Pelodiscus sinensis: one gene and its partners. The protein of the gene in region 4 interacts with the protein of the main gene of each other region in a pairwise test. Links are inferred from orthologs where the notes say so. Each region holds a gene or a part of one and is shown on either strand. Other genes may lie near its edges.

Evidence for each region.
Region 1: the proteins of TSC22D4 (region 4) and ZMYND10 interact in binary tests that used the Homo sapiens proteins (3 or more experiments, as listed by UniProt). The two-hybrid records come from large-scale screens. The link is inferred for Pelodiscus sinensis from reciprocal best matches to the Homo sapiens genes TSC22D4 and ZMYND10.
Region 2: the proteins of TSC22D4 (region 4) and MAD2L1 interact in binary tests that used the Homo sapiens proteins (3 or more experiments, as listed by UniProt). The two-hybrid records come from large-scale screens. The link is inferred for Pelodiscus sinensis from reciprocal best matches to the Homo sapiens genes TSC22D4 and MAD2L1.
Region 3: the proteins of TSC22D4 (region 4) and NRBP1 interact in binary tests that used the Homo sapiens proteins (3 or more experiments, as listed by UniProt). The link is inferred for Pelodiscus sinensis from reciprocal best matches to the Homo sapiens genes TSC22D4 and NRBP1.

Annotation. Positions count from the first base shown.
Region 1 is NC_134721.1:45,026,795-45,033,959, reverse strand, and holds the start of ZMYND10 (zinc finger MYND domain-containing protein 10), read right to left. Parts: upstream 3,005-7,165; 5' UTR 2,786-3,004; coding exon 2,691-2,785; intron 2,110-2,690; coding exon 2,001-2,109; intron 944-2,000; coding exon 827-943; intron 1-826. Other genes in the region: GATOR1 complex protein NPRL2, read right to left, coding at 3,765-3,832, 5,641-5,783, 6,277-6,394, 6,819-6,912. UniProt on the Homo sapiens protein: Plays a role in axonemal structure organization and motility. Involved in axonemal pre-assembly of inner and outer dynein arms (IDA and ODA, respectively) for proper axoneme building for cilia motility.
Region 2 is NC_134715.1:36,054,706-36,061,652, forward strand, and holds the start of MAD2L1 (mitotic spindle assembly checkpoint protein MAD2A), read right to left. Parts: upstream 3,012-6,947; 5' UTR 2,864-3,011; coding exon 2,791-2,863; intron 2,590-2,790; coding exon 2,443-2,589; intron 1,425-2,442; coding exon 1,304-1,424; intron 437-1,303; coding exon 333-436; intron 1-332. UniProt on the Homo sapiens protein: Component of the spindle-assembly checkpoint that prevents the onset of anaphase until all chromosomes are properly aligned at the metaphase plate.
Region 3 is NW_027465901.1:438,077-445,429, reverse strand, and holds the start of NRBP1 (nuclear receptor-binding protein), read right to left. Parts: upstream 3,020-7,353; 5' UTR 2,874-3,019; intron 778-2,873; 5' UTR 757-777; coding exon 544-756; intron 1-543. UniProt on the Homo sapiens protein: Required for embryonic development. Plays a role in intestinal epithelial cell fate and proliferation, thereby involved in the architectural development of the intestine potentially via the regulation of Wnt-responsive genes.
Region 4 is NC_134734.1:8,743,871-8,751,698, reverse strand, and holds the start of TSC22D4 (TSC22 domain family protein 4), read right to left. Parts: upstream 3,018-7,828; 5' UTR 2,533-3,017; coding exon 1,954-2,532; intron 891-1,953; coding exon 736-890; intron 1-735.

The DNA of each region.
Region 1 (7,165 bases), on a different chromosome or scaffold from region 4:
AGATCACAGCCCTGAGAACTTTTGGTCATTCATGGTTCTATGGCTGGTTTTAAAGGGGCAGCAGTTACCCCAGTGCCCTGGCCAAAGTCTAGGAGAGGTGATCATAGTCTATTGGTTGTCAAAATTTCCACTGTCATCTCAACTGGATAGCAGATCCTTCCTCATTCCCTAAGTTTACGTTGTGTTCTTATATGCTAAACAGCTGCAATGTTCCACCACATGGGTGGCTACCTTTCAGAAGGGGGGGGGGAAGGAGTGATCCTTTGTAGTCAAAGCATGTAGTCAACCTGTGGAACTCCTTGCCAGAGGAGGCTGTGAAGGCTAGGACTATAATAGAGTTTAAAGAGAAGCTAGATAAATTCATGGAGATTAGGTCCATAAAAGGCTATTAGCCAGGGGATAAAATGGTGTCCTTGGCCTCTGTTTGTCAGAGGCTGGAGAGAGATGGCGGGAGACAAATCGCTTGATCATTGTCTTCGGTCCACCCTCTCTGGGGCACCTGGTGCCGGCCACTGTCGGCAGACAGGATACTGGGCTAGAAGGACCTTTGGTCTGACCCAGTACGGCTGTTCTTATGTTCTAAGTTCTTTGGGATTCTTGAGAAGAAAGGTCTTATGTAAATAAGGGTATAATATTAATGAGAGTTTTGCCTGTGAAAATGATTCACGTGCAGCTACTGCAGTGAAAGCCTTAACGGGCTATGGACAAGGTGTCTCGTGAAGCAGGCCTGCTGGAGCAGAAGTGCCATGCAATGCTGACATCCTAGATCATGGCAGTGCACTAGAATATCGTGCAAGTTTGTTCTCCAAGAGCTCTCTGTACTCACCACCAAGTAGATGGGAAAGGTGCTTTTTGGCTTGAAATCCTCCAGCTGGCACAGCACAGGGAACACCTTGTGCTTCCAGATCTCCACAGAGATCAATTCCTCAATGAGAATAGGGACCTGGCCAGAGGAGTAAAGCACAGAAAGTGAAACCTATCAGGCAAGAGAAAAGGAAGAGAGAAGCCAAGTGCCGTAAGAGTATTTTAGTCCTAGAGAAGAGGATGCTGAGACACACAGGTTTGTTGCACTGATCATCTAGGTACTTTCATATGCCTCATCATCAGACTATCTGCTTCATCCATTGACAGTCATTTCTGAAATCAGTATCTGCCCCCACCTTTCCATTGGGTGAAATGGGACAGCATATCTGGTGCAGGGCAAGGAGGGATTCAGAGTTCAAATAATCTATTTCCTAATATAGCAGCAACATTTCAAAGGGACCGAATTTGTAACTGAGGTAAGGCTCCACTGATTTCAGGGTTACATCGGAGCCAAGTGCAGCCCTTGATTGTATAAGCAAGACCCAGTTTGTTTAGCAACAGTCTGCTCTGGTGCAACCAAACCTCTATTTGGCATTCAGTTCAGGGGTCCTTTGTACCCAAAATGTAGACAAACTGGAGGAAACACAGGGGCTGAGCAGGGAGGAGAGAACAAGAGCCAAAGGTGTAACAAACTGAAACTAGAAAATAAGGCACGCATTTTTACCAAAGGATGGAACAATTTATCTAGAGAAGTGGTGGATTCCCCATGACCTGAAGTCTTTAACTTACAATTAAACAATATGTGCTAGCTCAGCCATGAGATATGGGTTTGATGCAAGAATCACAGTGGCCTACCTTAATCAGGATGTCAGATGAGATAAGAGTGGTCCCTTCTGGACTTAAAATCTATCTATAATGTGGCTAAATGACTGAGGCCCAGGGAGCAGTATGGAAGAGTGCAGATGCCAAGCACAGAGAGAACTTGATTAGGCTCGTACAACGGAGTGCTTTGGACAACAGAAAATCAGGACTGCAGCGCAGGGCACATTTCCTGACTGAGGGGTGAATCAGGCTGAGGAGTCACCCCGCAAAGAGGCAAGAGCTCACTTGGCCCAGGCACTGTAGGGGGATGGGCTTGTGGAGCTTCCCTCGTGCCCAGGGTGCACAGTGGTGCCCCAGCACCCACAGGGGCTCACCTTGGCATGGCTCACCAGCAGCTCGAGCAGGAGCTGCTCCTGGCCGGTGGAGGCGCTCAGGATGGCCTGCATGTTCAGCTTCTCCAGGGCCTCGTGCTGCCGCAGCCACCTGCAGAGGGGAGCCCGTGTCGCCTGGCCATGGCCTGCCTGGGACCCAGCTGGGACACGGGTCCCCCTCCGACAGACCGACCCCCGGGAGGCTGCTCATCAGATCCCCAGAGAGTGGGAATGGGGCACCCCCCCGGGGCTCCCCCACCCCCGAGGAGCAGCCCCCCTCCCGGGACTCCCCCGCCCCCGAGGAGCAGCCCCCCCCTCCCGGGACTCCCCCGCCCCCGGGACTCCCCCGCCCCCGAGGAGCAGCCCCCCCCTCCCGGGACTCCCCCGCCCCCGAGGAGCAGCCCCCCCCTCCCGGGACTCCCCCCCTCCCGGGACTCCCCCGCCCCCGAGGAGCAGCCCCCCCCTCCCGGGACTCCCCCGCCCCCGAGGAGCAGCCCCCCTCCCGGGACTCCCCCGCCCCCGAGGAGCAGCCCCCCCCTCCCGGGACTCCCCCGCCCCCGGGACTCCCCCGACCCCGAGGAGCAGCCCCCCCCCTCCCGGGACTCCCCCGACCCCGAGGAGCAGCCCCCCCCCCGGGACTCCCCCGTCCCCAGGGCTCCCCCCTCCCGGGACTCCCCCGCCCCCGGCTCGCACCCCTGGCCCCCGGTGTCCCGCAGCGGGCCGCTCCGCAGCGCCTGCACCAGCGCCTCGGCCTCGCCGGGCAGCAGCAGCGCGGCCGCCTCCGCCATGGCCCACGCGTCGCCATGGAGACCGGGCGCCGGCCTGGGCGGGGCCAGCGCGCGCCCGGCTCCGCCCCGCGAGCCGAGTCCCAGGGCCCCGCCCCTTGCCTGGCAGCGCGCGGGGAGGGCGGGGCTTGCAGTCAAACTCTCCAGCCGACACTCGGGGGTGGCTGCCGCAGGAGCATCCCCACCCCGGCCACGCCCCGCTCACCCCCGCGGCGGGGGGAGGGGCACAGGAGCTACCCGCCCCCAGCTCTGAAACAATCTAGGCCAGGCTCCCACTTGGAAAAGTGCCTGAGAGCGGGGCAGCGCCTCCCCCCGCCCAGCCCTCGCCCCGCCCCCACTTTCCATCCGCCACCGCGCTGGGAATGCACCGACGCTTCAAAGGCCATTGGATCAGTTTTATTGCCACTGACTCACTCCTCTCCCGGAGCCCCCTTTACCGAACCCGGCTACTCCGCTCCCACAGCCCCCTCTGCTGCTGGATCGGGGCAGCCTCACTGGGCTGCGGGGAAAGCGGCTAGGGACAGAGAAGGCAAAACAATCCGTGCTTCTGAGAGTGGAAACCACCCCCCTTCCCTGTAACACACAGACTCAGGCTGGTCCCCACGTGGGGGTCTCTGCGCCCCAACTGAACACCTTCCAATTCCCATGACAGCAGTGACGAGTTCGTGCGCGACCAAGGCTGGCCCAGACACCGTGGAACCGATGATACCAGCGGCACGTGGCAGAAGCCAGCTGGCTCGCACACGCTTTGCACTGAGATGCCAGAGCCATGCTTTGCTATTGTGGAGCAATGCAATTGCTCTCCGAGCAGCGTTAGCGGAAATACGCCACCCCCCTCTCCCCCACAGGAGCCCAGTCACTTGAAAGAGCCACAGTCTGGGCTCTTGGAGCCATCTCCAAGCGGTGACCAGCTCCGCCTTCCAGCCCCCGTGTTCTTCTCTCCACGCGGCAGGACGCTGCCTGTCCCCGTCCCAAGAGAGATTCACTTCCAGCAAACAATGATGTTGGGATCGTTCTCCAGCCTCTCGTCCAGCTCTCGGTAGCTCATGCCTGAGGGAGAAGCAGAGAGCAACGGTGTCAGAACCAGCCCATCTTTGGCACTAATGCAAGTCACTGTTACCACCCATAGGGCGAGGCAGGCACCAAGGCGAAGTGACTTGCTCACAGCAGAACATCTGGATCGTGCCGGATTGAGAGCTCCTGTAGACTTGCTTTGATCTGAAGCCTGGCCCAAGTTAAACCACCGATTCTGGAGTTTGCTTCTCCCAGCCTGGTCACCGGAAAGCAGGGCTGAACCAGAGATCTGGCCCTACGGTGTGATCCTGGCTAGCTCGGCGATTATCACTTCTATGTCAATGGCCATGTCAGACAAAAGCAAGAGGCCATGGAGACTGGCACTATGCCAGTGTTCCCCGTCCTACTTCACCAATCTCGCCTGATCCTCACCTCCAGCACACTCACTGACTGCAGCCTTCCCCTACAACGCCTCCCCCCGACGCCCAGCACGTGGTCTTCCATTTCCGTTTTAGCCCTTCCCTGTCTCGCTAGTACAGCCGGTAATCGCACTGGCTCAGGCATCCCCTCCTGCACCGTCACCTTGCCAACCCTTCTCTTAGGCTGCTCCCAAGCAGACGCTCCAGCACACCAACAGTCCAGTACGGGAGACTCTCATGACTTGCAGAATCATTGTTCACAGTTCCGTGTATTCTCGGGGCTGGCCTGGCCTGGCGCGGGTGGGGGATGGCAGAGGCCAGGAGCGGCAGGGAACTCATCACAGCTCCCGGCCCTGGTTCCCCACGGCTATCAGGAGCCACAGCTGAGTTCCCCATGGCTCCCAACCCCTGCAGTGAGTTTGGGAGCTGCAGAGAGCTCCTTGCGGGGCCTGGAGCCGCAGCGGCTAGTATTTGGGGATTTCGCCATTGGCGGTGGTACCAGGAACGTGTGCACTGCGAACGGTAGTTTTCCTGTAGCCGAGATGTGGGCAGCCATTCATTCAGCGGGGATCTGAGCCCACCGCATTCGTGCTGTACGTGGGGGGTACCCACTCTTAAATCCAAGTCTCCAGAGGGAAAAACTCTCATCCAGTCCCCTCCTGAGGTGCTCAGCTCTCCAATCCCCTCCCTCTGCAGCACAGCCCTTTCCATTGGGCCTCGCAGAGACGGCCAGGAGCTGCTCTTTCTAGCACACGGCAGAACTGTTTGTTCTGCATCCGCTCCGGGCTGCAGGCATCTATTCGCCGTGTGCAGCGCTGCCTTCGAACAGCAGCGACCCTACTGCCAACGCTCCAGGGTTTTGCTGTTTCAACAGGACTCAAAGGGAGAGGAACACAAATATCCAATGGGTTCTGAAAGGATCTGCTTCGCCGGATCCTCTTCTGGGGCTAAGCTCCCACCATCAGGCTGCAGCAGGGATGGGAAACGGCTCTCGGCTGGGTTTGTTACGAGGCCAAGCTAGGCAATGGCTGCCAGTTATTTCATTTGATCCGGTAGGTTTGTCCAGTGCCTGGCAATTCCTGCATATTGCTGCAACTCCCACAGCAGCACAGAGCCGAAGGCAATGGGGCCCTGACCCTGGCTCTGAGGGCCAATGCAAATCAGGGTAGCGAGCCTTACGGCCAGGAGTGGCCTGAGGCCGGCTGCGGCAGCTGGCGCCCCAGGAGCAAGTTGCGATCGGCACCCCTGCCTGCATGGCCGTGATGTCATCATCAGGTGCCCCAGGCCGGCGGCACCCTAGGCTACTGCCTAGGCTGCCCAGGCTCACGGGCCGCCCCTGCTTACAGCCCTTGAACGAACACCCCTCCCCTGCTGCTGAGCCATCCCTGGGCTCTCCCCTCTGGCTGCACAGCCGGGCGCCGGTACCTGTTTTACAGCAGATCTCATCGTAGCTGTGACAGCCCGTGTACAGTCGTGCCGGGTGACTCTTCTCGTCCCGCACTATCTTCACAGGGTACTTCTGGAGCCGGCGGATCAGGCCCTTCATCAAACCGAACTGGATGAGCTTCCTGAGGGGGGAACGCACTGCTCTCAGAAGGGCTGCCGGCCCGGGAAACCATTCACCTGCCGCATGGGAGCTCAGCCCCCGCCCAGCCTCTCCTGCCGCTTGAGCCAAGCCAGAAGGCTGAACGGGCGGCCTGCCAGCAGGCTTGGGGGCTACAGGTTGAAGAGAAGGGCCTGACGACATGACCCAGCTGGGGCTGCTGGGCTGGCAGGAAGTGAACCGAAATCACAGTAGGATTCTGAACAAGGAAGCTGCTAGAGCAAGGAGCAAAGTCAGGAGACCTGGGCTCTGCTCCTGCCTCTGCTGCAGTTTCACTGTGACACCCTGGGCCAGTCACCCTGCTGCAGTGCCTCAGTTTCCCCATGAGTAAAGACGGGTGAATGATACTGAGGGGAACGCCCTGAGCTAGCCCTGCTACCAAGCCCCTGGCTGCCCGTATCACTGCACCCCTGGCATTCATCCACACTTCCAGGGCCCCCTCCTTAGCAGCCTCTGACCTTTCCTCCACTCTCTGGAGCTGCAGGGTGTAGCGGCAGATGAGGTCTCGCACGGTCGTGCCGGGGCTCAGCCCGCAGTAGAGCTGGAAGACGTCTCTGAGACTGGCTCGCTTGTGGCCTGTGGGGAAGAGAGAGACCGCTGCCGTTCCTCAAGACAGAACAGGGATTGCGCGAAGGAAGAGGCTGCCCTGGAGAGGGACAGGACCTGGCCTCGCTCTAGGCTCCTCGAGGCCATTCCCACGGCGCCCACAGAACTACAGAGCAGCCTCGTTGTGCTCTGTAGGTTACGTGGCTGGGATACTGAGCCTGGTTAGCTCCCCTTGAAGTTCCTCCCAGCCATCCCTGCTACACCACTCAACCCCTTTGTCAGAGCATTGACATGTTAATCAGCCTGGGTTAACCTCCAAGTCCCTGCGTGAGCAAAACCTAGGGAGAAGGAACCCCACGGCTCAGCACAGGCTCTCAGTCCCTCCTAGATCTCTGCCGGCATATCCTGGGCCAGCACACTCTTCTCACATGCGCCCGGTTCAGGCCTGCTGTACCTTGTTTGGTGACGTAAGAGAGACATTCTTCTTGGAGGCATTTATCATCCACCAGATCCTGGATTTTAGGCGTGGTACAGTACACATTGGAGTACTGGGAAGCAATGGGGAGAGAGAGGAAACACCTGTTAACCAGAGGCAGGAGAGTTTTAGCTCTGGGCCTAGAATTTAAGCCAAACAATACAAATAATTTGGTGGGGCCAGCTCAGGAGAAGCAGCTGCTACACAGACCCACCGCCCAGCTGTGTGACTGGCATGTGACTCCGCTGTCCTAGAAGCAGCCTCTATAGCGCACAGGGTACAACTGCACGGCAGAAGCACAAGATTCTTCCCCTTCCGAAATCTGG
Region 2 (6,947 bases), on a different chromosome or scaffold from region 4:
GTGTTCACACTGCCATGGATGCTCTTGCGCAAAAGCACATGGCAGCGTGGACATGCTCATGCGCAAAACAGTTCTCATGCAAAAAGCCTGCAGTGTAGATGTAGCCAGAATGTTTTACAAAATTGCAGAAGAAATGGACGTGATTAGGTGTCTTTTTTTAAATCCTTCATTTTGATATAGATTTGTCATTCAAGTCTGCATGAACAGTATACCGTTCATAGTTAAAAAGGTAGCTGTCTCCTTTAGATTAAAGTTCCAATTCAAGTTTAAAAGACATTTTCTTCTAGAGTTGTTAGTGTTCCATTAATCACACAAAAGTCTGGAATACTCACAGGCTGTTTCCAGCAAAGGAAGAAATGTTACAGTGGCAGTTATTTGTCTGATAACAGATCGAATTTCCTCCTGGATAGCTTTCTGAGATTTCTCTCTTGGTACACTACATGAGTAATAAGTTGTCAATATAGAAAAAAGCTTTTGTTATAACAGAAAATTTCTCTGTATCTACATCTCTTCATTAAATTGTTTAAAAGCTGTTCTTGCTATACAATAGAGACAATTTTCCTTCACACACACACACACACCCCCCGCGCTCCCCCCCCCTCTCTCAAATGGACAAATACTATGTAGTGAAATACAAAGTGGATGATCAAGGTTTGGAAAAATATAACCAAAATGACAGCTTATGATTTTGATTCATTGTTCTTCCATGAGACCTCACAATGTTAAGACTACCAGCCTCTGTCTTGATTTCCTTGAGAACTGGTTTATGGGATAATACTGCTACCAAAGTAATTGCTTCTCAATATGAGAAATTTAGGAGAATAGTAGCAATCAATACTACCTTGAAGTCTGAAATAGTTGCTGAAGAAAATAACAGCTTTATACAATAAATTTTTTTAAAAAAGGGGGAAAATTCTATCTTTCATATACAGCTTCTTTTAAAGTAAATGGGAGTTATATATTCAGCTGAGATCAAAAGTTTTTCATTTGATTTAGAATGAAGCACACTAGTTAATTACCAGCAAACTGAAAACTATACAATGCTGTGAAAGATTTCTGCTCTGGTGTATTCTCTCTGCACCTGAGTGTTTTTTAAATGTTGCAGCACAGCCTATAAATACAAAGGGCCTTTAACACTCGCATCTAATCGACTACTAGCATGAACCAACAGGAAGGATTTATAACAGTGTAATTTTGAAAAAAACAAACAAACAATGGTCTTGTAGCACCTTAGAAACTGACAAAAATATATAAATAGTATATTTAGCATTCATGGGCCCAAGTGTAATTTTGAGTGCATTACCTTTCATCCTTTGCAGTCTTGTCACATTCAATATCAAACTGCCACCTTTCAAGAACCTCACTGCTTTCAATGCTAGAGATCACTACAACCAGCCGTTGTACTGAACATTTGTATAACCAATCTGAAATAAGAAAAATAAAAATTTCCCTACAGTCAGATAACGGAGATCACTCTACTACACACACACACACACATATATATATATAAAAAAAAAGAGAGCTGTCATTAAATCTCACATTACTATCTGCACTAGTAGTTTCACTGTGGAAAAGCTGTTAATGTGGAGTCAACATCCTAAATAAGTTAGTGACAAACCTTAAAGTATACGTTCACTTCACAACTAAATAGCGAATTCAGAAATATAAAAACACAACAGACATTGGCTATGTAAATAGGCAAGCTGAACATACATACTAAGAGAATGTAACCTGTTTAAGAAATTCACATTTGAGCACTGAAGGGCAAGAAACTACTTTGCCTTAGTGAGGACTGGATAGAATCATAGAACCATAGAGCTGGAAGAGACCTAGAAGGTCATCAAGTCCAGCCCCTGCTCTAGACAGGACCAATCCCAACTATATCAACCCAGCCAGGGCTTTGTCAAGCCGAGACTTAAACACCTCTAGGGATGGAGATTCCACTACTTCCCTAGGTAACCCATTCCAGTGCTTCACCACCCTCCTAGTGAAATAGTTTTTCCTAATATCCAACTGGACCTCTCCCACCACAACTTGAGACCATTGCTCCTTGTTCTGCCATCTGTCACTACTGAGAACAGCCTCTCTCCATCCTCTTTGGAACCTCTCTTCAGGAAGTTGGAAGGCTGCTATCAAATCCCCCCTCACTCTTCTCTTCTGCAGACTAAACAGACCCAACTCCCTCAGCCTCTCCTCATAAGTCATATGCTCCAGCCCCCTAATCATTTTGGTTGCCCTACGCTGGACCCTCTCCAGGTCTCCCAAAATAAGACTCTCCCCAACATATATAAATAGGATGGGTAAATATAAACAAACATGGACTATCACACAGTTCCTATGCATGTCGCACTCGAGACTCGTGACAGCTTTGACCTATGCCAGGCGCCGAAGATACAGGAGATCAAAGCGAGCGCCCATTTCGGTGGCTTGGCTCTGCGCTACCTTTCAGCTGCTCCACCACGTTGTTGAGGTAGTTTTTCAGGTCCGGGTCTGTGGTTACCAGCAGGGTGAGCCCGTACTTCTGCACGCGCGTGAAGGTCTCCGAGGGGTAGACCCCGCGCTGGTACAAAATGCTGTTGATGCCGAAAGCTGAAAGGCAGGAGAGGCGGCTTCGTCACGGGACTCCCCGAGTAGAGAGCCCGCCCCCGGCATCCCGCCCCGTTACACAAAGCGGAGCGCTCGGCAGAGACGCGGCCCCCAGGCCCCTCCGCGGCCCCCAGGCTCCCTCCCCCCGCGCTCGGTTCATCGCCCCCAGTGCGGCGGCCCGGAGCCGCCCGGCCGCCGACTCACAGAAGAACTCGGCCACGATCTCGGCGCTGCCCCGCAGGGTGATGCCCTGCTCCCGGCTCAGCTGCTTGGCCATGGCGCGGCGGTACCGCGTCCCCGCCGCCCGCTTCAAATCAGGCGCTGCCCGCGCGCCGCCTCATAGGCGCGCGCCGCCCCGAGCGTTCGCGCCGAAGCACAGGCGCTGCCCAATGGCGGCACTTCCCGCAAGCGCCGCCGCTCCTCCCTCCCGGAACCGCCGCCCTTGGGCGCAGGCGCAGTAACTTTCTGTCTTGGCGGGCTTGGCGAAGCGGTCGGGGTTGCGCTGGGACCTGAGCGTTCGCGGGGGCGCCGCGCCGACCAGCTGTGTGGGAAGGGGCAGCGCGTGCCCTGACTCCCCGCCCCCCCCCCCCCCCCGAGCGGGCCGTGCGCTACACCGCGAGGGACGCGGAGGTTCGAAAGTGCAAACACGCCCGGACCCTGCACGGCTGCAATCCCCTGCGCGTGCTGGGGGGGGGGGGGCTGGGACTCGAGTCCCTCCCCACCCCGGGGAATCCCCCATGTTTCTCAAAGCAAACGTTAAGCGCGGGCAGCTGCCGCCTAACGTGTGATCCCCGGCGCTGGGGCCGGTGTTTTCCCCAGGAATTGAAATTAAGGGCGGCTTTCCAGTTTATGGGAGTGTGTGTGTGTGTCAGAGCCAGCCAGCTGAGGCTGTACGGTAAATGAAAAGTAACGCAGCTGGAAAACAATCTCAACGATGCCTGCAAAACCTCGGTGTGTCAATTAGCTGTTACCGCTCAAGAAAGGTTCCCGCAGGACAGGTCCACCAATAGCTATTAGGATGGGCAGAGATTCAACACCATGCTGTGGCTGGGATGCCTTTATTTCTTCCTGGTGTTTCAGTCCATGCAGTCTACACGTGGTTGAAAAGTTTTATCCGCTGGAGGGGGGAAAGGAGCTGTTCGGCATAGAGAAGACGGTGCAATTGGCAGTAATGCAAATGTGCAATGAAAATGAGCAGACCACTCAGGCTGGTGGGGTTGAATTTCTTTAGAGGGACATGTATTGGGCTATAGAAGGAGATTAAAGGAAAGTGATGGTGGAGGGGCTGTTCCTGGCAACTTCCAAACCTTAAATGTTCTAAATGCAAATGTTAACAATATTATTGGTCCTTCGGGGATGGATTAAAACAGTGCTGGGCAACCTAAGCTAGTGAGCGGATTGCATGAGTGATGCTCATTCATCTGAGTGGGTTGCAAGATTGTTTTACCAAGATGGTCCCTTGGAATAGGGTAGATTTGCTATCTGCACTTGTGTACTTAGAATTTGTGGGATGACCTAATTTATAATTTATAGCAGCACTTTGACTGGATGCAAAGGGAGTGCACAGCTCTCTAGTCAATGCTGTGTGCAATAAGCACAAACATCATTTTATGTGCCCTTTATGTGTATGCCACTTCAGTAATACCAATAGGAAAAAAGTGATGCACACATACCACTGGAATCTAGCAACCCTGTGCATGGGCAGCTGTAAACACAATTTCTCATGGGCCATACATATAAACCCCTGTGGGCTGCACAAGGCTCATAGCTACAAGCTGCATTAGAGGAAACAATAGGTCTCTTTCCATCTCCCAAGTGCCTGTCACTGGGTTCTGTAATTGTCACTTTACAGTACAGCCAGAATACATTCAGTTCGTCCCCTTTTTTATATGCAAGATTCATAATTTGTTTCCATAGAGGAAAAGTAAAAGTACAGCTGTTAAAAGGGCAAGAAAATTAAGGAACATGTCTTCAATCCTGTTGGAATACAGTGAACGTACAGCTTCCCCATATGGGGAAAAATTGGTTCAGAAAAAGAAGCAGCAGAAAAAATGGGTTCAGAAAAAGAAGCAGTAGTCTTATCGACCTGCTTACCCAGTAACTGCATAAATGGCCTGTCCAGAGCAGCCCTTTGCCCACAGCAGGACCACAGCTGGACTCTGCCTGTGGCTGCAATAGGCTGGCTGGACCCTAGCTGAAGCAGAGTGGTCCGGAGAAGCCCTCTGCCCACAGCCATTGCAGGATGGGCCGGAGCAGCCCCCCTGCCTGCAGCACACCCACCCTCTGCACAGTGGACAGGAACAGCCCCACATTCCACCCCTGTGGCATAGTAGCTCAACCGGCAGGACCCTATTCATGAAGGCTGCAACAGGTGTCACCTGTGATGCAATGATTAATTGTTTAAGCACTGTAATTTTAATTGTTTAATCAGTTAACTATTTTAATGGGTTTTTACATCCCTAAAATCAGCACCTACTGGAGCAGTTAGGTAACCTCTGGGAAATGGTGTGTTTATTCTAGAATTGTTTGGACTGTGTCCTATACATATCTTGGTTTGAGACAAATAGATATTTGTCCCAATGTATGTCATCAGAAAGGCCAGCGAAGGGGGATGTGTTGCTCATCCCAATACACTGTGTTGCTCATCCCAACCTCCCTCAAATCACATAGTCTGATGCCAAATTGTCTTATCTGAATAAGGAATTTGCCTTGAAGTAAAGTCCAAGTAAGATACTGAATCATCTGCTATTTGAGAGTGAGGAAGGGAGGCCTATCTAGCTTCCTACTGAGTGGCTTGGAATACAGTAAAACCTGTGTTATCTGGCACGCTCATCGGGGATTAGGGTGTTCCGGTTATCTAAAAATTCCAGTTATCTGAGGGTCCCATCAACCTAGGAAAAAACAATGAAAAATAATAATAAAACTCGAGTTTTTAATATTGGTAGTTTTGCAGTATGAGGCAGTTGGTCTCATATTTCTATTTTGAGTTAAAGATTATTAGTACTTCTTAAATAAACAGGCGCATGCAGTTGCGCGTGGTGGTCATTGGAAAAATGTGAAGGTCCCTGATCATTGCCTGCATAGTCTGGAACCTGTGCATGGGCAAGGATGCTGTTCCTGTGGTGGAATCCAGGAACGTTGCTACAAACTCTATAGTCTGGGAGGGGACCATCATGGACTCCTCCTTGTTCAGTATAAGGCCCAACTGCAGGAATAGGCTCCTGGAAACGTGTGTGGCTACCTGGTCCTGAGATGAGCCACGAATCAACCAGTCATCCAGGTAAGGGAAGACTTATACCCCGTGGCGTCTCAATGCAGCTGCCACCGGGACCATACATTTGGTAAAGACCCTTGGCGCTGTGGTGAGTCCGAAGGGTAGGACTGTAAACTGAAAGTGGTCCTGGGCTACTGTGAACCGCAAGAACTTCCTGTGGGAGGGCAACACCATGACGTGGAAATATGCAAATTTCAAATCGAGGGCAGCAAACCAGTCTCCTTTTTGTAGGGAGGGAATAATTGATGCTAGAGTGACCATTTTGAACATTGTCTTCTTTATAAATGTATTTAGTCCTCTGAGGTCTAGAATAGGATGAAATCCCCCTTTTGCCTTTGGTGCAAGGAAATAATGGGAGTAAAACCCCCTCCCCCATAACTCGTCCGGGACGGGCTCCACTGCCCCGAGATTCAGGAGCTTCACCACCTCCTCCCTCAGCAGTGTTTTGTGAGAGGGGGGTCCCTGAAAAGGGAGGAAGGGGAGTGGGGAGGAGATGGGGGCAGAGGGGAAGTAAAGGGGATAGAATAGCCCCATGCCACCAGGCTGAGAATCCACTGGTCTGATGTTATAGATACCCAGGCTTGGTGGAAACGGGATAAATGAAAACCAAAGGGGGGGGAAGAAGACGTGACTGGTATGCTATCCTCGATCGTGCCCTCAAAATGGTGATTTGGGGCACTGACCCGCATACGTAGTGGGGCCCTTATCTTAAGTTGGTCTAGAAGCTCTGCGCCGGTTTGTAGGCGGGTTATTTCTAAAAAAAATTACGGCCCTGCCTTCTGCTGCGGTCATAGGTAAAACCCCGCTGAAATTGCCTTGTAGCAGGCTTGGGGTTGAGGGGTCGCCTAAGTGGACCGGGCGTATGGATTCCCAGAGACTTAAGAGTTGCCCGGGAATCATTCAGACTATGCAGTTTGGAGTCCGTTTGATATGAAAAAAGATCCGCTCCTTCAAAGGGCAAGTCCTGAAGGGAGGTTTGCACATCGGGTGGAATGCCCGACACGTTTAGCCATACAGTCCATCGCATAACAACTGGTGCCATTGTCCATGCAGCTGAATCAGCTACGTCTAAAGCCGCCTGAAAGAC
Region 3 (7,353 bases), on a different chromosome or scaffold from region 4:
TGTGAACAACTAATCAACTATCCAATAAGTAAACGCTTATCAGACAATCAACACTAATCAACTAGTTGCTTCCCCCCTCCTTGACGCCTCTATCAGAGGAAGGAGTACTTTAAAGCAGTAGTGCTGCATGGAGCGCTTTCGCCCTGGAAGTGGCAACTGCCACGGAGCTGTAGGTACACTTCAAAGGCGGAGGCACCCTTATCAACTAATTGAATAGTCACTATTCAATTAGCCAATCAATCAAAATTTTACATCCTACACAGGACAGGATGACCTGAGCTACTCAGATTAGTTCATGTCTAGATAGTAGACCACAGAGCAGTTCCTCATATCAAGGCCACGCTTCCTCATGCCCCCATTCTTCTTCCAGGGTAGATAACTCTATACCAGCACCAAACTCTGCCTATACTCAAATGAAAAGCACAAAATTTCACCAGCTCACACACCTCTGATCCTCATCAGACCCCCTATTTTTCAGGTCTGATTCCCTCAACAGAGATCATTACAAGTTCCCTGCCCCACTGTCATTTGCTGGGAACTGACCTCTTCACGTCTTTTTTGCCACCGGCCACAGGGGGATTCTTCAAGGATTTCAGACTCATCTTCACTCTCCTCCTCTTCCTCTTCTTGGGGCGCTGGTGGAGCTGTAGAAGTCACTGGTGGGGACACGGAGGTCATTCCTGGGCCAGAAGATGTGGATTCTGGCTTTGTGTCTGAGCCACTACTGGGAACCTGCTTGGCTTCTCCTTCAGACATGGTGAGATGCAATTCTAATACCTAGAAACCATGACAACACTCACATACCACCTCTAGTTAAGCACCCAGAGCTGAGCTGGTATTTCCCAAGAACAGCCACTCCAGCTCAGGTCAACTCCCTCAGGAAGAAGAGTTTGACTTGACTAAGGATGTAAAAGTGTAGCCATTTCAACCGATAATCAACTACCCAAACAGTTACATGCGGCTCCTGCTTCACCCTGTACCAGAGGCAGCGGCCCGGGCCAGCTCTTCAAGAACAGGGTGGCGGATGGGAGCCAGTATAAAAGCCGGTTCCTGGAGCACACTGGCTCCTGGGGAACCGAACGCCGCCCTCACTGCCTGGCACACGTAACTGTGTAACTGCTGAACACCTATCTGCTTTGGACCCAACTAGTGACCTCATCCCACATGTTCATAGGTACTGCAGACACCCCAAAAGCTTGGGGAGAACATTCTTTCTGAAAACTGATCCATCCACTGGAGTGCAAACAATTTGGTTTGTTTCCATTCTCCTATAGATAATTTTGGGTCATTCAGTGTGGAGGACCCGCCTCTCTCCCATTTATTCCACATACCTTTCTTTCTGGAAAGGCTAAACAGCAAGCAGCTGGTTACGAGGGAGAAATCTAGTTGCTGAGAGAGTTGCATTATTCTAAACATTACCAGATGTACAAAAAGTTAATATTGCACATTGGCACAAGTTGGTTGGGACCCAGCCAACAGCACCATGGGCAGAATTATGTAGATCCAGAGACCCACAAGCCTGAATGAAGAGAGGGATTTGGGGCTGAGTGTGCTATAGGGAAAAGTAGCTAATTTATACAAGCATTGTCAAAACAGCGGGGTGGAGGGCTCGCCCAGCAAGTGCCCAAGTTAGGCCATGGCTAATGGGCACAGACCCCACGCACCAATTGCTCCTTCCTCATTCAAGCTCCAGCTACCATAATGTGTCCTCTTTGTCCCACCTGGTGAGCGTCAGATACTGCCCAGCCTGCAGCCTGGTCACCAGCTCCGGCCGAGACCTTCCCCCCCGAACCCAGCGCCCGGCCCCCCCCACCACAGCCCCCTCGAATCCAGCGCCCCGCCCCCCCGGACCCTCCCCACCACAGCCCCCCGAACCCAGTGCCCCGCCCCCCCCAGGCCCTCCCCACCACAGCACCCCCGAACCCAGTGCCCCGCCCCCCCAGGCCCTCCCCACCACAGGCCCCCCGAACCCAGTGCCCCACCCCCCCGGGCCCTCCCCACCACAGGCCCCCCGAACCCAGCGCCCTGCCCCACCACAGCCCCCCCCGAACCCAGCGCCCCGCCCCACCACAGCCCCCCCCGAACCCAGCGCCCCGCCCCCCCGGCCCTCCCCACCACAGCCCCCCCAGAACCCAGCGCCCCGCCCCCCCACCACAGCCCCCCCGGAACCCAGGGCCCGCCCCCCCGGCCCTCCCCACCACAGCCCCCCCGAACCCAGCGCCCCACCCCCCTCACCACAGCCCCCCCCCGAACCCAGCGCCCCGCCCCCCCCACCACAGCCCCCCCGGAACCCAGCGCCCCGCCCCCCCCGGCCCTCCCCACCACAGCCACCCCCGAACCCAGCGCCCCGCCCCCCCCGGCCCTCCCCACCACAGCCCCCCCGAACCCAGCGCCCCGCCCCCCCCGGCCCTCCCCACCACAGCCCCCCCCACCACAGCCACCCCGGCCCTCCCCCCCACAGCCCCCCCGAACCCAGCGCCCCGCCCCCCCCACAGCCCCCCCGAACCCAGCGCCCCGCCCCTCCCCACAGCCCCCCCCGAACCCAGCGCCCCGCCCCCCCGGCCCTCCCCACCACAGCCCCCCCGAACCCAGCACCCCGCCGCTCCCGGCCCTCCCCACCACAGCCCCCCCCCCCCCACAGCCCCCCCGAACCCAGCGCCCCGCCCCCCCCACAGCCCCCCCGAACCCAGCGCCCCGCCCCTCCCCACAGCCCCCCCCGAACCCAGCGCCCCGCCCCCCCGGCCCTCCCCACAGCCCCCCCGAACCCAGCGCCCCGCCCCCTCCTCGGCGCTCTGCAGCCGCGGGCCCGTGGCTGACCCCGCCCTCCCCGGGCCGGACGAGGCCCGCGTAGCGCCCCAGCCGCTGACACTCACCGGGCTGGGCCCGGCCTCGCGCTCTCGTCGCCGACAGCCGCGGCACTAACCGCCGCGCGACGCGACGCAACGCAGCCTGCTGCTCGAGGCCGGCCGCCCGGGCCAATGGCGCACGCCCGGGCCGCCGCCGCCGCCGCGCGATTGGACGGCAGCCGCGCAGACCCGCCCCTTGGCCGGCGGAAGGCGGGCGGGGCCTCGGCGCGGTCTGACGTGCGGCGCGGGGCGGGGCCTCGGCGCGGTCCGACGTGCGGCCCCGGGGAGAGGGCGCGTCATCGCTGCGGCGGGGGCGGTCACAGGGCGCGCGCGCGCGCGAGCGGCCGTCGAGTCCCGCCCCGCCCCCGCGGCAGGACCCAGCCTGGCTGCAGCGGGGCGCCCCCAGGTGGTCCCGGGCGGGGGTGCGGACAGAGCCCCGCCCGCGGGGCAGGCAGCCCCCTGCCCCTCCCCCTCTCCGGCAGCGGCACGAGGGGGCGGCGGAGGCCCCTGCACACAGCAGGGGGCCAGTTGGGGTCCTTTGGGGCTTTGCACCCCCTGGGGGGGGCGGGGAGGAAAGAGGGAAATTGTTCTCCCTGGCCTCTGAGGACGGGACACGAGGCAGTGGCCTTAGGTTGCAGCAAGGGAGGTTTAGGTTGGACATTAGGAAACACTTCCTAGCTGCCAGGGTGGTGAAAGGCTGGAATTAGTTACCAGGGATGGACTCTCCATCAGTGGAAAGTTTTAAGAGCAGGTTGGACAGACAGCTCTCAGGGATGGGCTAGACCAGTGGGCTTCAAACTTTTTGGCCCAACACAGACCACTTAGCTCAATGTAAACTTTTGTGTGGACCATTAGTTGCTAATGGAAACTCACTATTAATAAGATAATTACACCCAAGCCATTTTGTAAGTGCTACAAGGAGGGAAACTGGTTAAATCTAAATTATTAAACAGATTAAGCGCTTTAACATTCCCACATTAGTTTATCATACTTCATTTTAAATCAAATAAAATATTAATTCATAGCCAATGGAAAAGGTTTCAATGTTTTCTTTATATATGGCAGGTGTGGGGGTTCCTTTTTTGTGTCAGGAGCCACTGACCCACAGAAAAATAAATTGGAGACCACACAATTGAGAAGCAAAAACCTTATCCAAATTCCCCCTCCGCCCTCACTGATGTGCTCCCAACTGAGACACCTCACTCCTCTGGCATTCCAGCCCCACAGGCTGAAGGGAAGGGACAAGGAGGGCTGGGGTTTAGACTTCCCATAGGCCAGATTTACTTTTCTGGGGTTCCAGAGTTAGTGGATTTTATGGACCCCCTTAGACTCTAGGGCTACGTCTACACTGGCATGATTTTGCGCAAGAACTCTTTCGCGGAAGAGTTCTTGTGCAAAAACTCTTCCAGAAGACAGCATCTACCCTGGCATGTGCTTTTGCGCAAGAGCATCCTTGACCGTGTAGACACTCTCTTGCGCAAGAAAGCTCTGATTGTCATTTTAACCATAGGGCTTTCTTGCACAGGAAATTCATGTTGCCTGGCTACACTGGCCTCTTGTGCAAGAACAGTTGCACAAGAGGGCTTATTCCTGAGCGGGAGCATCATAGTTCTTGTGCAAGAAGCACTGATTTCATACATTAGAACGTCACTGTTCTTGCGCAAGAACTCGCGGCCAGTGTAGACAGGCAGCAAGTGGGGACTCTTGTTGCTCTTGCTTCTAATATATTTGTAGAATGTCTTCTTGTTACCCTTTATGTCTCTAGCTAGATTGAACTCGTTTTCTGCCTTTGCCTTTCTCATTTCACTCCTACACACTTTCATTTGTTTATATTCATCCTTTGTAATTTGATCTAGTTTCCACTTGTATACGACTCCTCTTTGATTTTTAGATCATGCAAGATCTCCTGGCTAAGGCACAGCAGTCTCTTGCCATACTTTCTATCTTTCCTATGCAGTGGAATAGTTTGCTTTTGGTCCTTTAATAATATCCCTTTGAAAAACCACCAACTCTCTTCAGTTGTTTTTCCCCTTAGTCTTACTTCCCATGGGATGTTACCTACCAGCTCTCTGAGCTAACTGAGGACGTTAGGGAGATTCCCAAATCTGCACCATCCTTTGTGGGTGATGAATCTGAGGAACTGTCCCGGATTGAAGTGTCATTAGAGGTGGTTTTGGAACAAATAGAAAAACTTAATGTTAACAAATCTCCGGGACCGGATGGCATTCATCCGAGGGTTCTAAAAGAACTCAAATGGGAAATTGCTAAGCTTTTATCTGTGGTTTGTAACCTATCCTTTAAATCAGGTTCTGTATTGGGGGGAGGGATAGCTCAGTGGTTTGAGCATTGGCCTGCTAAACCCAGGGTTGTGAGTTCAATCCTTGTGGAGGCAATTTGGGGCAAAAGTTTGTCAGGGATGGTACTTTGTCCTGCTGTGAAGGTAGGGGGCTGGACTCGATGACCTTCAAGGTCCCTTCCAGTTCTAGGAGATAAGCAATCTCCATTAATTTATTTACCTAATGACTGGAAGGTAGCTAACAAGACACCAATATTTAAAAAGGGCTCTAGAGGCAATCCTGGCAATTACACACCATTAAGTCTAACTTCAGTACCAGGCAAATTAGTCAAAACAATAGTAAAGAATAAAATTGTGAGGCACATAGAAGAACATAACTTGTTGGACAAAAGTCAGCATGGTTTTGGTAACAGGAAATCATGTCTTACTAATCTACTAGAGTTCTTTGAAGGGGTTAAACATGCAGACAAGGGGGATCCAGTAGATATACTATACTTAGATTTTCAGAAAGTGACAAGGTCCCTCACCAAAGGCTCTTGTGTAAATTACATGGCCATGGGATAAGAGCAAAGGTCCTTTCTTGGATTGAAAACTGGTTAAAAGACAGGAAACAAAGAGTAGGAATAAATGGTAAATTTTCAGAATGGAGAGGGGTAACTAGTGGTGTCCCCCAAGGGTCAGTCCCAGGACCAATCCTTTTCAATTTATTCATAAATGATCTGGAGAAAGGGGTAAGTAGTGAGGTAGTAAAGTTTGCGGATGATACCAAACTGTTTAGGATAGTCAAGACAGAAGCAGACTGTGAGGGACTCCAAAAAGATCTCACCAAACTGAGTGATTGGGTAACAAAATGGCAAATGAAATTTAATGTGGATAAGTGTAAAGTAATGCACATCGGGAAAAATAACCCCAACTATAGGTACAGTATGATGGGGGCTAATTTGGCTATGAGAAATCAGGAAAGAGATCTTGGGAGTTATCGTGGATAGTTCTCTGAAAACTTCCACACACTGTGCAGCGGTGGTCAAAGAGGGAAATAGGATGCTAGGAATTATTAAGAAAGGGATAGAAAATAAGACCCAGAATATCTTACTGTCCCTGTATAAAACTATGGTACGCCCACATCTTGAATACTGTGTACAGATGTGGTCTCCTCACCTCAAAAAAAGATATTTTGGCCTTGGAAAGGGTTCAGAAAAGGGCAACTAAAATAATTAGGGGTTTGGAACGGGTCCTATATGAGGAGAGGTTAAAGCGACTGCGACTTTTCACTTTAGAAAAGAGGAGACTGAGGGGGGATATAATAGAGGTCTATAAAATCATGAGAGGTGTGGAGAGGGCAGATAAAAAAAAGTTCAGCGTGTAGTCAACCTGTGGAACTCCTTGCCAGAGGAGGCTGTGAAGGCTAGGACTATAATAGAGTTTAAAGAGAAGCTAGATAATTTCATGGAGGTTAGGTCCATAAAAGGCTATTAGCCAGGGGATACAAATGGTGTCCCTGGCCTCTGTTTGTCAGAGGCTAGAGAAGGATGGCAGGAGACAAATTGCCTGATCATTGTCTTCGGTCCACCCTCTCTGGGGCACCTGGTGCTGACCGCTGTCGGCAGACAGGCTACTAGGCTAGATGGACCTTTGGTCTGACCCAGTACGGCCGTTCTTATGTTCTTAATCTGCCTTCTTGAAATCCATTGTCTTTATATTTCTGTTCTCCCTTATACCATTCCTTAGGATCATGAACTTTATGATTTCATGATCACTTTCACCCAAGCTGCCTTCCACTTTTAAATTTTAAGCCAGTTCCTCCCTATTTGTTAAAATCAAATCAAAAACAGCTTCCCCCCAGTAGCTTTCTCTACCTTCTGGAATAAAAAACTGTCTCCAATGCAGTCCAAGAACTTATTGGATGTACAGTAGACTTCCGATAATCCAGAACCTATGGGACCAAGGTGGTGCCGGATTATCAGATATGCCGGAGTATCAGGAGGTACTATAAGCTGGTTGTGTATATACTGTATACAGTATATACTGTATATAAAGTGTTCTTAACCCTTTTTATTGTACATACTGTATACAGTATACTGTAATGTTTTAGTTTTTTTAACCCTTTTATACCCTTTTTGCTCAGTTCAGCTGCTGCCGTTGTTACCTTGTGACTCATTTTTTGCCGAAGCTCACTCACTAGGCTCTTGCCATTTTGATGCCAGACTATCA
Region 4 (7,828 bases):
GGCACTCTCTAATCAGGCATGATTTTAGTTAGTCAGATGTCCTCTTATGCGTGTGGCCAAGTTTCCCACAGTCCCATACAGTTTATTTACAGCCACCAGTCCTGGCTCTCTGTGTTCGGTGCTGTTATTTAGTTCTAATTTGCCTCTAAATATCTTCTAAGAGCCCAGTAAGCAGGGGAAGTGTTGGTGATGCTGCTAGATAATATTGACCTCCTATTGTTTGGAAAATTCTCTGGTTCGGCACCAGTCAGGTCCCAAAAGTGCAGGACTAGAGAGGTTCAACCTGTAGTTTGTTATTGTAGAGTCTACTAGAAGGAACGTGGCAATGGTTTGCTATTGGAGTATTTCTATGATTTACACAAGCACACACACACACAGGCCTGCCGCCAGCCTGGCCCATTGCCAGGATCCCTCCCTGTTCCTCCCCCCAGGCCTGTGGGCCCCACACCATCCCCTCTCCCACTGCCAGGATCCTGCCCCCAACTTCCCCAGTGCAGGCAATACAACTGAGTCACATCCGCTGCCAGCCATTCAAATGCAACTTCCCCTCCCCCAGCTTCCTTCCTCTTCTACTGCTTGCATCTCCCTCTGTCCCATTCAGTCCCCGCATACTGCTCCACCACATGGCAGCCCCTTCACCAATCGTCCCAGCACTCCCCCTCCCCCGACCATTCACTGGCAAAACAGGAAGTCCCACCCTCCACCAGGCACACTGGGCAGGAAGTCCCACCTCACCTGTCATCATCGCTGTCCTGGTGTCCCCCCATGGCAAACATAGATCGGGCCAGGCTGAGACGTGCACCAAAAGGGTCCGACGCTTTTCGAACAGGGCTCCCTTCCCGAAACAAGGGGAGGGCTGGGGAGGAGGGGCGGGAGCTTCGCAGTGGAACCTGTAGAGGAGACATCATAATGGAGAGAGGCCAATGAACAAGGTGGAGCAGAAGGGACCCAGGCATCCTCCCTTGCCCCCACATGCTTCAGTGGATGCTGCCAATGGCTCCGCATCCCAAGGACAGCATTGGGCAGCTGCAATGGGGCCTGAATGCCTGGGTTCCTTCCATTCTTTCCCTGCCCACCAGAGCCTGGGGGGCAGTGGGCAGATGAAAATCACCCCTTTTCCGTCATGGTGATGAGAAAGGAGGAGGCAGCCGGGGAGGTGTCAGGGCCCAGAACCTGACCCCCCTTCCCTGGACCATACATCCTGCTGAAGGAATGTCTCTCTGGGACAAAAGGTTAGATTCATGAGATATCTGTGGGTCTGCCTCTACTTTGTGGGGCTGAACTGGCTAGGGGTTCCTCCATCAGACCCATGGCCCAGTCGGCCTGAACCCACCTCCAATGCCAGATGCTTTCAGAGGAAATTTCTGCAATGCACCTCACTATATCACAGCACAGGAGAAGGTGGCCCTCAAACCTTACCCCATTAACTTCCATTACCCCCAGCCGAACTGTCAGCCCAGCCAGCATCCAGTGGTGGGGAGTTCTGCAGGCTGATGCAGCCCCAAGTGGTAGGAGGTCATTGGAATCAGGGTGATTGCAGGTCCAAAGGGAAGAGATGGAGCCAGGTGTGCAAGGAGCTGTCCCACCACTGCTATCTCCTCCCTCTCCAGCCACCACCCGTTTACTACCCCATGCGCACCAACAACCCTCCACCTCCTCACCAAATGCTTGTCAATCCCCCTACCCTCTGGGGAGGGTATCCTAGTGGAGACCCCACCTATCTGGTGCAGGGGAGACATGGCTCCTAATATGGTTCAGAATTAACCCACAGGACTACCTACTGCAGGATTTCCACTGGGGATCTGATCGGCGAGGGGCAGGTAGAGTCAAGACTGGACTAGCCCACAGGCTGATGCAAAGGGCCAGATACAAGGTTAGATGGGCCTGTGGGGTGGCTTTCTACCACGTGGGTCTCCGTGGTCCCATGAAACCCAGGCATCTGGCCCCCTTTACCTTGTGCCTCTCCTCCACCTCCCTCCGGATGCGCTGGGCGAGGCTCTGGGGCAGCAGCAGCTCTTCCACCCCCACGCCCGATTCCCCAGGCTCAGCACTGGCCCCATCACTCTGAGCTCTGCCCCCTGGAGTTCTCTCCCCACCTCCCAGCGAGCGGGGCAGGTGCTCGCCAGGCAGCGTGGGCCAGGCTGTGCCCTGGGAGTGGCCATGTCCGCCCCAACGCGCCAGCGGGGGGCTGAAGTAGCCATGGGGCTTGGGGGCCAACCCAGCAAGCTCCAGGCGGGAGTCAAGAGACTGCGGGTGCCGGGCAGCGGCCAGGAGCCGCCCCACCACCTGGTGCTCCGGGTCCCGGTCGTAGAAATCCAGGCAGGTCCAGCGTCCCCGTTTATATGGCTCCCCAAGGCCCTGGTCCAGCTTCACCACCCGGAAGCGGGAGGCAGCGGTGCTGCCGGGTGGCACCGAGGGCCCGTTTCTGGGCACGGTTGCATCCTCTGGCAGCTCCATGGCGGGTGGCGCCTCCTGCTGTTCGTACTCAGTGGTGATGCTGGTGATCTGGAAACTGCTCTTCTTTCTGCTCATGGTCCTGCTCCCGCGCCAGCTCAGCGGGGCCTAGGCAGCACCGGGCCAGCACCAGGCTCTCGGGGCGGTGACATGCCTGCGGGCAGCTGGGCAAAGGGGGCACCACCAGGGGCAGGCAGGGCAGCCCCTGGGGTGCTAGCTCGCCTGGAGGTCAAGGGTCCTGGGGCAGGTTACAGGTCATGAGGAGCACACTCCCAGGAAGGGGGGCGGTTTGGGGGGGGGCTGCTGGCATCCCCGCCCCTAGGCCCCCACCGTGCTGGGGGCAGCACTGGAAAGTTCCCTTAAGTTGGGCGCGTGCTGGGGGCAGGGGGGGCTGCAAGGTGCCCGGGGGTGGAGGGCGCACTTTTCCGGCAGGGGGTCTGGATTCTCTCTTCTGTGCCCGGGGAGCACCCCCCGCCCCAACTCCGGCCAGCGCCGCCGCCTGTTGACAAGTCCCCGCTCCAGGAAGTCCGGCCCCCGCCCCGACCAGCTGACTGCTCCCCCCCCCCGCCCCGTTAACCCCTTCCTGCTGCAGCGCCCCATTCCCGCCCCGCCCCTTCCTTTCCTTTCTCTTCCCTTCAGTGCTGCAGCGCCCCGGCCTGCCCGCCCCGCGGCAAGCGTCCCGCTGCATCTCCCCGCCCCCAGCACCGCCTCGGCCTGCCCCCTCTCCCCGCCCCTTTAACACTCTCCCTGCCGCAACCCCCACCCCGTTACCCCTTCCCTGCTGCAGCCCCCCCGCCCCATTAGCCCCTTCACTGCCACAACCCCTGTAACAAAGTGGAGATTGTAGTCACCCGATTGCTTTGTTGCACGTGATTTCTACTGTGCTGTACTAAGCCCTCGTGTGCCTCAGTTTCTCTGGGCACTACACCAATATCTAGACGATGGGAATTTCGGTGACAGCCTCCCCCACGAACACAATAGCTGATACTTTCTGCAACCTGAGCCTGGGACGGGGGTGTGACCAGGTCACGCCCTTTGTCCGAAGAAGCCGACCAAAAGCTGGAGGCGCGTCAGACTACAGGGCTGATACAGGCTGCTGAGGGTGTGAGCGAGTCTCGCTGGCTTGGGGTGCTAGGAAGGGAATGGGAGCCCTTGGCTCTGAGCCTCCTCTCCCCAGATGGATGGTGCTGGCTGCTTCTGGTTCCTGTGCTGACAAGTCTGTTCTGTGCTGTGTCCCTGTCACCTAATAAATCTTCTCTTCTACCTGCCATCTGAGTCACATCTGGCTGTGGATGGGGGTGCAGGGCCTGGTGGTTCCCTTCCCCTCGATAACAGCCCTGGCCCCGTTAACCCCTTCCCTGCCACTGCCCTGCTAACCCCTTCCCTCCTGCATTTTGCCTGGCCCCTTAACACAAGAACTTATCCCTGCAACAAACCCTGTTGCCAACTCTGTCCATACATCTACACAAATGTGCCAAAGGTTAAATGGACTCAAATGGATCACAAAGCAAGGTAACATACAAAAACCCTTAGAATATGTTAATCTCCCTGGATGCTCAGTAACAGATTTAAAAGTAGCATCCTTCTACCAAAAAAACTGCAGAAGCAGACTACAAAGAGAAACAGCACAGCTGCAAAATTCATTTGCAAATGTAAGGATCAAATTAGAAGTGAATAAGGACTTAGAATGGTTCTCCTACTACAAAGGCAATTTTCTCCCTCCATATTCACAGCTTCCCCATCAGCTGCTGGGACTGAGCACATCAACCCAGACTGAACTGGCCTCTTTAACACTGGTCTTACACTTGATAACGAAGGATGAGTCTACACTGTACAGTTATTCCAAAATAAGCAGGTTGTGTAGAGTACCCAAACTCCCTTCTTTTGATGTGCTAGTTCATCTGTATATATCCCTGCCTCTATTTTTCCATTCTATGCACCTCATGAAGTGGGCTCTACCCATGAAAGCTGATGCCCACATAAATCTGTTAGTACTTAAGGTACCACAGGACTCTGCCTTGTTTTTACACACATACACCAGCAGGAAATTGTCACAAGCTTGAAAGATGCTGCTTCCTCCTGCTGGTGAATGAGGGGAAAGCACCTCCCCTCCATGCCACTGGCCATGCCAAGCCCACCTAGATTCTAGGAGACAGAAACTTACTCAGGTAAGGGGACCTTATGCAACTGGCCATCCCACCCCAGAGGTGGCTGCATCCCAACACCAGGCAAGAGGTCCTTGTGAAATCAGCCACCCCACCCCAGAGGTGGCTGCATCTTAGCGCTGGGCGAGGAGTTCCTGTGTAATAGGCCACCCCACACAAGAGTTGGCCCCCTGGTAACCATCTGTTATGCCCTAGAAGTGGCTGCCTCTCACCACCATGGAGGTGTCCCTGTGTAACAGGCTGCCCCACTCCAGAGGTAGCCACATCTCAGTCCCAAGCAAAGTGGCCATGTGTAACCCCCTCCTCTGCCCCAGAAGTGGCAACATCTCAGTGCTGGGAGAGTTGTTCCTGTGTAACCGGCCACCCCACTCATGAGGTGACTGCATCTCAGTGCTAAATGAGAGGTTACTGTGTAACTGACAGAAAAGAGGAGACTAAGGTGGGATATGATAGAGATTTATAAAATCCACTGGTGTGAAGAAAGTGAATAAGGAAAAGTTATCTACTTGTTCTCACAACATGAGACTGAATGAGGGGTCACCAAATGAAATTAATAGGTAGCAGGTTTAAAACAAACAAAAGGAAGTATTTCTTCACACAACACATAGTCAATCTGTGGAACTCCTTGCCACTGGATGTTGTGAAGCTCAGGACTTTAACAGGGATCAGAAAAGAGTCAGATAAAATCATGGAGCATACTTATTAGCCAGTGTCCCTAGCCTCTATTTGCCAGAAGCTGGGAATGGGCAACAAGGGCTGAATCACTTGATGATTCCCTGTTCTATTCATTCCCTCTGGGGCACCTGCCACTGGCCACTATTGGAAGATATGATCCTGGGCTAGATGGACCTTTGGTCTGACCCAGTCTGACCATTCTTATGACAGTTCCATCCCACAGGTGGCCACATCTCAGCCCCAGATAACCAGCCACCCCCACATCTCAGGCTACTTTTAGACTACAATGTTTTATTAGAAAAGGGTATGCAAATTGCACTCTGCAATTTGCATACCTTTTTCTGATAGTTTTGTTGGAAGAGGCTTTTCCAAAATTTGGCCCATCCACAGTGGGCCAAATTTCAGAAAAACCTATTTTGGAAGAGCCCATAGAATGAGGAAGACAGGGCTTCTGAAAGAGTGTATGTGCTCTTCTGAAAAAAAAAAAGCGGAAGAGCAGACACATTCCCTGGATGCAGCAGAGTTTTTCCAGGATATCACGGAAAACCCACGTCGCCTAGACGGAACCTCAGTGCCTGACAAGATATTCCTGTGTAAACGACTTCCCAGCACTAAGATGCCACATCTCAGCTCCAACCGGGAGGTTCTCTTGTAACCAGATGCCCCACCCCACAGGTGGCCATGTATAAGTGCCAGGCCAGGTGTCCCTGTGTAACCATCCCTCCCGCCCCACAAGTAACTGCATCTCAGTGCTGGGGGAGGGGTCCCTATGTGACCAACCACCCACTCCAGAGAGGGCCACATTCCAGCTCCAGGCGAGGGGTCCCCTTGTGCCCCAGAGGTGGCTGCATCTCAGCCCTGGGTGAGGGTTCCCTGTGTAACCAGCTGTCCTGCCCCATCTGTGGCCACATCTCAGCCTAGGCGAGTTGTCCCTCTGGGTATATCTACACTACATGGCTCCATCAACGGAGCCATGTAGTGTAGACATACCCTCTGTGACCAAACACAGACCTTCAGAGGTGGCTGTATCTCAGCTCCAGGTGAAGGGTCCTGGTGAAACTGGCCACTCCCCATGCCCAGAGGTGGCTGTATCTCAGTATTTGGTGGTGGGTGCTGTAAGAGCTGTTACAGCAACACAGGGTGTGGTCTCCTGCCCTGCTTGGTCTTTGACTCTGGAAAAATAGGGTTCATGGTCCAGGAAACAGGGACACATGATGCCCCCCTCGCAGGCCAGTTCGCAGGCTCTGGGGATTCCTGGGATGATCAAATACAGTTCTCCGCCTATTGTGGGGTGGCAGTGAAGGGCAGCAGCTGGGTGGGGAGGGTGCAAGTCGGGAAGAGCACTGGGGGTGGGGGATCTGTGAGTCAGGAGTGAAGGGCACCAGTGGAGGAGCTGTGGGGGGAGTGAGGGGCACCAATGGAGGTGCTGTGGGTGTGGGAGTAAAGGGCACTGGTGGGGCGTGCTGTGGAGGGAGTGATGGGATACTGGTACGGGGATGTGGAGGGCATCAATTGGAGATTGCAAGGGGGAGTGAGGGATACTGGTATGAGGGCTGCAGTTGGGGGGAGTGAAGGGCATTGGTGAGAGGGTTTTGGGGGGGAGTGAGAGGCACTGGTGGGGGAGCTGCAGGGGGAGTGAGTGGCACTGGGGAGGATGCGGGGGGGAGTGAGGGGCACTGGTGTGTGGGGTGCGAGAGGAGTGAGGGGCACTGGTGAGGGGCTGCAGGGGGAGTGAGAGGCAGTGGTGTGTGGAGTGCGGGGGGAGTGAAGGGCACGAGCGTGTGGGGGGAGTGAGGGGCACTGGAGTGTGGGGTGCGGGGGGAGTGAGGGGCGCGGGGCGGTGCGGGGGGGAATGAGGGGCACTGGTGAGGGGCTGCCGGGGGGGAGTGAGAGGGACTGGTGTGAGGGGCACGGGGCGGGGCGGGGTGGGGGGAATGGGGGCACTGGTGAGGGGCTGCAGGGGGAGTGAGGGGCACTGATGGGTGGGGTGCGGGGGGGAGTGAGGGGCACTGATGAGGAGCTGCAGGGGGAATGAGGGGTACTGGTGTGGGGGTGCGGAGGGAGTAAGGGGCACTGGAGGGTGGGGTGCGGGGAGAGTGGGGGCACGGGGCGGTGCGGGGGGGAGTGAGGGGCACTGGTAAGGGGCTGCGGGGGGAGTGAGCGGCACTGGTGGGTGGGGCGTGGGGGGAGTGAAGGGCACGGGGGTGCGGAGGGAGTGAGGGGCACTGGTGGGGGACTGTGGGGACAGTGAGGGGCACCGCCGTCTCTCTCCCCGGCCTCCCCCCCCCACGTTTCTCCATCCCCGGCTGCGGGGGGGCGGAGGGAGGCGCCGCGGGTTGGACGCTGCGTCAGCGGCAGCGGGATGGGGCGAGCGGAGCCGCGGGAGCCGAGCCGGGCAGGTACCGGAGCGTGCGGGGCTAGGCAGGGGTTGGGGGATGTGTGGGGCAGGGAAGTGAGCTGGGTGGGAGATGTAGGGGGCTGGGTAGGGGGCTGGAGAATGTGGGGGGCAGGGGAGGGGTCTGGGTGGGGGATGT